2 linked regions of the Caenorhabditis elegans genome follow. The protein of the gene in region 1 interacts with the protein of each later gene in a pairwise test. Each region holds a gene or a part of one and is shown on either strand. Other genes may lie near its edges.

What was found.
Region 2: the proteins of gln-2 (region 1) and K04H4.5 interact in a two-hybrid assay, tested with the Caenorhabditis elegans proteins (one large-scale study listed by BioGRID).

Annotation. Positions count from the first base shown.
Region 1 is NC_003281.10:9,942,672-9,947,022, forward strand, and holds gln-2 (putative glutamine synthetase), read right to left. Parts: upstream 2,153-4,351; 5' UTR 2,058-2,152; intron 2,013-2,057; 5' UTR 2,007-2,012; coding exon 1,667-2,006; intron 1,454-1,666; coding exon 1,102-1,453; intron 1,057-1,101; coding exon 645-1,056; 3' UTR 572-644; downstream 1-571.
Region 2 is NC_003281.10:9,357,304-9,362,056, forward strand, and holds K04H4.5 (uncharacterized protein), read left to right. Parts: upstream 1-2,056; 5' UTR 2,057-3,015; intron 3,016-3,058; 5' UTR 3,059-3,067; coding exon 3,068-3,148; intron 3,149-3,194; coding exon 3,195-3,663; intron 3,664-3,709; coding exon 3,710-3,777; intron 3,778-3,826; coding exon 3,827-3,964; 3' UTR 3,965-4,030; downstream 4,031-4,753.

The sequences.
Region 1 (4,351 bases):
TCACTTAAAATATCAAAATGATTGCCTTGAAATCTAAGTGCATTCCTCTTTGCCTCCAATTGTAATATTCTTTCTATGTCTCCGTCCCACTTATTCTGTATTTGAACCAGTTCTTGTGAGCTGTTTCTCATATTCAATACATCGGTCACTGCCTTAAAGAAGGAGTATAGTCAATGGGGAAATTGTTTTAAAATGTAGTACTCGTATTCAAACGTCCAATTATTGCAAAATAAAAACGGGAAAATCCGTTAACAGTCAGCATTTTAAGTCCGGAAAATCGTTGAAAAAGCTTTAAAAATTTACCTAGACAATTCTAGGCCACGAGGAGTAATCGAATTTGTATTACATATGCATTGCTTTTTTAATAAAACACACTTTACAAATACTATATTTTAAAACAAGTTCCCCATTGACGATACTCCTTCTTTAACACAACACCTTTATGGTGCATCGATGGGAAACAAATGTGCAGACCTAGCCAATATGAAGGGATTTACCGTTTTCTCTGGAACTTTCTCAATCTCAACACTTTCAAGTTGAAAGCTTCAACAAAAAAAAAACAACAAACATTCTCATGAATATTTTATTCCGTTCAATTCAAATAGGTGTATTTCTTTGTTCTGGATATCTTAACCGACATGATTCTAGAAGAGAATGCTCTGTGCAATCATCGCAGTCACTTGATAAGGATCGCAGTTTGATGACGGACGACGATCCTCCAGATATCCTTTTCTCTCCGCAGCCACCTGTCTCGGAATACGGATTGAGCATCCACGATTGGCGACTCCCCATGAGAATTTGTCAGCCGAACTTGTCTCATGACGTCCTGTCAAACGACGAAGATTGTCTTCTCCACCATGTGGATCGTACACCTTCATCGCCTCCAAATGTGTCCGCTTGAGTCCTGTCATGGCGGCTTCAATCGCAGCAATTCCACCTGGAGCACGCATTTCGGCAGTCGAGAAGTTGGTGTGGCATCCGGCTCCGTTCCAGTCTCCCATGGTGACCTTTGGTTTGGGATCAAGGGATACGCAGACACCGAATTGTTCAGCAACTCTGAAATCATTTTTATTTTACAACTATCGGGGTTGATTTATGTACCTGTGCAGAATGTATCTCGACATCCACAACTGATCTCCCATATCGATTCCTTCGCAGGTTCCAATTTGGAATTCCCATTGTCCTGGAGTCACTTCGGCATTTGTTCCAAAAATGTTGAGTCCGGCGTGAAGACAAGCCCGGTAATGTGTCTCGACGACTTCTCTCCCGAACGCACGATCAGCTCCTACGCTACAGTAGTACTTTCCCTGTGGATCCGGGAATCCGTGTTTCGGCCATCCGAGTGGGTGCTCATCTCTGTCGACGATCAGATATTCCTGCTCCATTCCGAACCACGGGCGGGTGTCACGGATCTCATGCATGATCTCGGCGCAGGCTTGACGATGGCTGGTTGCTGAAATCGATGTTTTTTGATGTTTCATCACTAGAATATAATTGTGAATTCGCGCTTTTATGGAGAAGCAGACCATCTTCTCGCTGTGAGACTCATCTCATTCGCTTCGGAAACGTGGAAAGACTAGCACGCATTGCACGTAAGCACAATAAAGTAGGCAACTTGAAGGCGCGCAGGCAGGCATCTAAATGCCTTATTTTCCTATTCTCTTACCTGTTGGCTGCATTTGATGATCCAACGTGTCACACATCACCAACTTATTCCCACCGCCCAAAAATGGATCCGGGTAAGCGGCGACTGGACGCAAGTAACGATCCGAGTCACGTCCCTTTGCCTGTCCCGTCGAGCTTCCATCATAATTCCAGATTGGATAATCCTCGATTCTCTTCGGAAGTTTATCGAATGTTCGTGTCTTTGAGCGCAGATTCTCCCCAGTTCCATCGATCCACACATAGGTCGCCTGGATCTTTGTGGGATGCGGGCGAAGTCCCAGGAATTGATCGATGACGGCTGTTCCAAGAGGCATGCGAGTCTCGAAGTTCAAATGAGTCATTTTTAGCTGAAAGTTACTCTTTTAAATATGAAAATCTGTGGAAATACTTACGGTTATTACAATTTGCAATCGAGGAGTGTTCTTCGAGTAGAGACAAGCTCGTAATGAATTTTTCTTCGGGCATCCACGTTAAAAAGTAACAAAATAATATTTAAAATATTGAGGAAATCTGTAGTACACCACGTTTCAACCTTTTTTATGTATTTAAAAATTTTAATTTTTAAGGGAATATTTTTAAAAAAATTATTGAATATATCGTGAAAACTTTTAAGTTTTTTTAAAATCTAATCTAATTTTTCGATTTACAATCTAAAAAAAGTATCCAAAAAAAAGTGAGTGATTCTTTTCGAATCACATTTATTTCACAATTATTAAATTTCAAGGTAAGGTTATTTCTATTCAGGTTCAAAAAATCTTTAAACGTTGTGAGAAGTTGGCAATACCGGCGTCAAAATGTAGGCATAAGAAGGCACATAGGCATGTAGGCAAGTAGGCATGCACGTAGGCATGTGGAAAGAAAGTTTGGAAAAAAACACTTTTTTGGACGTTTCGGAACCGTTCGTTTTACCCAAAAATATACAACTTATCAGAAAACCGTCAGTGGGATATTTGACAATTTTAACTGACATACTTACAAAACTTAGAGCTGAGCATGAAATTTTGGCAGCGCCCAAGTACTTGTAGTTTTAAACCTAGTCACATACTTTTTGTTTTCAGATGATCAAGTCGATGAGATCGAATCTAAATAAGAAGAAGAAGCCTTCGGAAAATTTGCGTATGAACGAAGTGAACGGAAGCAGCCAAGCAAACCAACATCAGCTATAAAGAAGTCAGGAAATAGTAGTGAAGCAAGAAAAGATAAAGGAAAGAAGACAGGAAAAGGATGTCGAGAACAAGGAAGTGATGTTTTGAGTAAGAAGGATGAAAAGAAGAATGGATCAAAGGAGCAATGGTCGTGCGATGGAACAGCCAAGAAGATGGTCGCCAATGGATTCTTCAGTACGGTTTTTCGAGATATTTCTTGGTTGTTGTAGAATCTATTAGTTTATTTTTGTTTTTCTTGTCAGTGCACAATTTTTTTTTTAATTTCCGGGTAAACATATAATTTTTTTCAGACAATTCAAATATCAACGGAGCATTCAAAGACGCGCCAACATCGAAGCCGAATATTGAATCGTGTCCTTGTTTCAAGAACAACATGCAGAAAGTTCGAGCTCCCGACTGTCCAGTTGAAGATCACAAGCTTATCAAATTGACCAATGGACCAGACAATTTTATTTGTGCTGCAAAAATCGTCGTTCCGGATTTCAATAGGACTGTTATATTGACTCAAGTGCCGGATCTATCAAATACTCAAAATGTTGAGGATTTTTGGAGGATGGTATTTCAGGAGAATATAATATCTGTTATTGTTGCTGTAATGCCACTTGAAGTCACTCTTCAACAAATATTCCCACTTCTGGTAGGAACTTATTCAAATCATGGCAAAATGTTCATAAATAAGAAGGTAGAATCAGCCGTTGGAGTTACTGAATATAGCTTGGAAATTCTGCCGGATGGATGCTCAAATTCATTGTTCACTACAGTATATCATTTGCAAAATTGGAAGCAGAAGAAAGGATTGGATAATGTTGGAGGTTTAGTGGCAACTATTGAGAAAGTGATGAAGGTTAATGAGGTAATATTTTTAGTTGATCTATTCAGTCAATCATTTAATTTCAGAATATGCTGCTTATGAGCATGAATGGTACCGGTCGAGCCGGAACAATGCTGACGCTCTTCACTGCAATGATCCAAGTTCAGAAAGGAAAATAAGTAAATACGAAGGAGACATTGTCGTGTTTGAGAGCTGAAAGATGTGGAATCGTGGAGAATGCGGATCAATTTTGTACTGTGCACAAGGCAATGGCATTGTGGTTCAAGACCAAGTCGGCAAATGAAGAGATCCAGAAGAAAGTTAATGAATTTGCTCCAGGTGTTCAATAGATCTATTAGAAGTTGAATAAATATTTACATTTCCAAATGAAATCTGAGTTTTCAAAAAAGTTTTACATTATATAATACTAAACTTTAAAAAATAGTTAGTTATTACGAAGCATGATATTTCCTCGCCACGAACGAACAATTTTCAAAGTGACTATGCACCTTTAAGGTCTACTGTGAATTCTCCCTGTTTCGCCGATTTGCAATTTTTTCAATCGTTTTATTAATTTTTCAAAAGAAATTTTAAGCAGACGCGAAATTTAGCAAAAAATACAGTACCCGGTCTCAACACGGCAATTTTTGGGCGAAATTTTGCTAAATACAAACGGGTGTGCGCCTTTAATGAGTACAGTAGTTTCAAA
Region 2 (4,753 bases), 590 kb from region 1:
TGCTCGTGCCACTGTTTGTTGTCCTCGCGGAGTCTCTACGACAAAACTTGTCATTTTTTATCAGATTTTGGTGCTGCTGGTGGTGGGAGAGAAATAGTGTTGAGGAATTTGGGTTTGTGTTCGTAGGAAAAAGATCACAAGGGCGGCGGCGGGTTGTGTCTCCTTCATCTCACGACAAGACGGGACCCCGAATTTGACAAAAAAAACCGCGGCGGATACCAGGCTCGGCCAGGCGGTCGAGTGATAAGTATGTTCATGTTATGTTTACAAAGTGGTATTTCCCTAAAACATGTTACTTTGAAATCAAAAGATAATATCTACATAATATCAATTTCCGATTTTTCTGAACAAACCTTGAAACTTTATGATTAGAAACTTATAGAGACTTATAGACAACAGAGATTTTATCGGTTGACAACTTTTATTCAAAGTAAAAGCCGACCAAGATATTAAACTTATGTTCCAGCTTCAAAGTGCGTTGCTAGAAACTATGTTAACGCAGGCACCAAAACAATAGCCGCGCCTGCCTGAAACCGCGAGCCTCCTGCTTTGCTTGGGACCCGAAAAGTGTAGGTTGCCTTGAAAGAACCAACTATTGCACGTGGTGCAAACACCAGGAATTTCATGTCATGCCAGAGAATAGTTCAGACAGGTTCCAGACCCTGAAACCGCGCCTGTCTCTTCATGGAAGCTTTACTAGAAACTGAGCGACTCCACAGTCACATCGAAATGTGTTCAATCTCAAATGATCATTGTTTTTAGGATGCTCGTAGACAAAGCGAACGCGCTCACTTTTTTGCTGTTTTTCTGATACAGTGCCGGTTGGTCACGATAAAGTGCAAATCAGTAGTCAAACATCAAACTTATCATAGGGAAAGGAATGGAGGGTGGGGGTCAGATTTATTAAGATATGAGAAATATATCTACAGATTTTTTCTCTAACATTGTAAAGGTTTTTTTTTGCAAAAGATTTTAGTAAAATATAGAATAGAAAGTGTTGAGGTAAATTTATCGACAATACATGTTTTTTGTAGTTTTCCAATTTCGGACACTTCACTATAAGAACAATGTGATAGATATTGTTTGAGTCTTCTCCCACTTATGCTATAAAATTTGCGCGCGCTCTTTGTTCTTGACCTGACCGAATTCGGCTCTCGCCCCTCTCTCTTATTTTCTTATCATATGTTTGGCATGCAAATCAGTGTGCTTCACTGTCTCCAGCAGAGCCAGCTTCAAGCGCATTTCTATTTGTGAGAACCTAGGAAGAGGGAGAGAGAGAGATAGAAACAAGAAGAATCTCTCTCATACATACTGTCTGTCTTTTCGAGATTGTTTTGCGAAGCTTGTACAAAGGTCGTGGCAAACTGACCAACGCACTCTCCGTCACTTGTCGTCCACTTGAAAAAGTACACACTCAAATACTGGCTCGCAAAGGAGGGAGATCCCACCACACTAAATGACCCCTACCGGGCGAGCAAGGATTTGGTAAATTCTCTTGAATAGACTATGATTATGATGAAATCCGAAGGGACACTTTTGTGAAACATTGCGAAACTATTTATTCCAGAATCTTCCAGATGTGCTCCACAAAGTTCAACTTTTGCAGGAGCTCGTCACTTTGAGTCATGAGTGACTGAAATGCCATACTTCAAACAAAATCCACCTGGTTTTTCAATGTTTTGTCATACTGAAAATGAGTATTACAATCTGAAAATGTCAAATGCTGATTTCCTCAACCGTTTTATACAATTTATTATGCGAATGAGCAGAGATTAAGATATTTATAAATGTTTGTGATTTGATCTCAATGATTTGATCATCTAGGTTTTTGATTTTTTTAAATATCATTTATAAAAGTTTCCACGGCAGTGTGCGACTTATTTTTGCGAGTAAGCCTAAGACTAAGACTAAGCCCAAGCTTAAGCTAAGCCTAATCCTAAACATATTTTTAAACCGCTGAACGTCCAGATTTGGAGACTCGTCGTTCAACTTTTGTTTAAAATCTACTTCCCGGTCACATGTTGAACAGACTAATAAACAACCCATTTGAAACATTTTACAACTTCCTGTAACTTTGGACCCAATTATCTATATTTCACTTTGCCACTTTTTGCACTCTGATCCTCAACGTTTTTTTTTTCATTTGTTCGCGATCTTCTTATCAGAAACTTGATTATATGTTTGAGTTCTCCATAACAAATATTATTATATTAATAGACATTTGCCGGCCACTTTTATTTGCGTTTGATCTAAAAGTATCTCCACCAGTTTTTTCTAGCGGGAGTCTAGTCAAGGCACATAACACATGGCTTCTCTTCTTTTCTGTCTTTACCGTCTGTCCATACCCAAAAGCCGGAGAGTGATAAGCGACACGAACACAGTCATCTCTGAAGAGGTCACGAAAAGCTGCTGCAGTACCGCCGCGCTCCTGTGCTTATCAATTGCGCGGTTTCCCTCGCTTTTTGTCTTTGTTTCTCAGTTTCCTCTCTGATTTGTCTTTATCATTCGAGTTTGACAACTAGCGGAAAGTTTGCAAAGCGTCCCTAATGCTCTGAGTGGGCTTCTCCTGGAAAAAGGTTCGAAAGTTCTAAAAATGGAAGGTTCTTTTGCATGGGCGTGCAATGTGCTTTTATTACTGCATCAATTTCGGAAAAAAATTTGAAAATGTCAAAATTATTTTAAACTTATCAATTCTAAAATCAATTTCCAAATTTACAAATGTTTAGAAGGTGCTAAAACCCACAGTACAGAAGAAAACATCCTGATAATTCAATCAGACCAGCTGAAAAACGTGCACAGACGGAACGAATTCACAAACGGCTGGATCTAAATAGAAGTCTCATTTTCCAAATATTAATTTCTGCTAATTATTATTATTAATTTTTCGTGTTACACGGTATTGCCACGTAACTACGTGAAAATGCCCATTCGAGTATAAATGAGCGTTTCTCACTGTTTTAAATTTATTCCCGATTTTACTTTGCCATTTCGTTACAGCGGACAATTTCTGTTCAAGTGAGTTCTAATTTAGAGAATCGATGATTCATTCTCTTTTCAGTTCGAAGCAATGGGATACGTTGAAAGTTTTTATTTGGAGCCTGAAGCTACTCAAATGTTTGGGATGACTGAGAGTAACGATCTTCCACCGGTAGGCTAGGTAATTCAATGGATTGCCAAAAAGTCCTAATTTTTAGCTTGAAAATCTCCAAGAGCTCGCATCTGTGATTGATGTTAACATCAAAGAGCCACTTGTTTCGGATTACTGTGGTTTGGAGTCTGACGACATTCCACCAATCTACCGTGCTCAGCTTCGTGCAGCTCAGAAGGAGAAGATCATTGCAGCCGAACAAGCAGACAAATCTTTCTATGCTTACGAAAAGTCTGATGCTAATTTGGAGGGAGATAAGAAAGAAGTGGAAGCCATCGCACCGGTGGATTCAATGAACTTTGAGTACTACGTCCCGGGTTTCTCTCCGCCGCCACAGAATTTTAACGATGACGTTCAAAAAATGAGCAACTTCCAGCTTCCTAAAATGACATCGATTGAAGCTACTGAGAACGTTTTCAAAATTAATGGAGCACACGAAAAGTCTCAATACGTGTTGATGGAAAATGAGGACCCGAATAAAGTGAATAGCCCAAAAAAGACCGGACTGGAAAGCTGTATGTTTTTATAACTATGCAGAATACAAAAAGTTATCAATTACAGTGATTTCATACACTGCATCGGATGTTACTTCTACAATTGCCTCTGAATCCTCCTGCCTTACCGCTACGGTAAATTTTTTCAGTTCAAAAAATAAAGTTTTAAACTCGTTTTTTTCAGCTTGGTCCAGCTTTTGGCTGCCTTCCGATCACAAGCACGTATGATCGCCACTCCGAGAGCAAGTACAAAGGATTGAGTGCTTTCCGTCCAGTCACCAAATCAATTGAATCGCAATACGCAATGCCGGAGCTCAATTAGGTGTTTCCCAATGTGAAATGAATCTCAAAATCTGTCGATATGAAATGAAGAATTTTTGTATTTCTTTTCAGCCACTTTATCCGAGACCCACTCTCAAAAAGTTGAGAAGAAAGCGGATGTCAGAAGAACATTAGTAGTGTTTTCAAAAATCGTACTGTTTTTCATTAAAAATAGGTACTTTTTCAAGAAATGTTCAATTTTTCAAGATAAAATCGGATCTTCAAAGTTCTTTGGACATTTCTTAATGGTAACAATGGAAAATTGACTCCGAATATCTCTCCTTTTTGTTCACAGATAATTGGCAACTTGTCAATCAGGAATCTCGCAGCAATGGCATTGTAAACGGCCCGCCACCGACAACTTTAGGCACATCGTGCCCGGCCATCAATTGTGTTTTGGGTATATTGTGCTGATTGAGGCGTTCTACGCACATAGTAGTAGTAGTAGTGGTGCAAAAGCACCACGGTGGAACCGTGGAGGTCCTTGGATCATTGAGATCCGCCTGGATCGAAAATTCTGGTGGGGAGGCCCAGTGCCTCTGCCACCTTTTTCGGATCCGTCCACAGTTTAGACGGAGTGAGCGGGGGTTGGATAGAACATCTCAGCATGTGTTCCACATTCCCTGTGACATCGCCACACTTCTTGCAGGCTGGCACCGTGTCGTTGTTGACTCTCGCAAAATAGCTTGGGACCATGGTTGAGTGACCGCATCTGATTCTGGCTAGCTCCACTCTTGTTCCTAGCGGCAAGGATCGGATCTTCTACGCACATCGCGAAAAACCGTGGCTA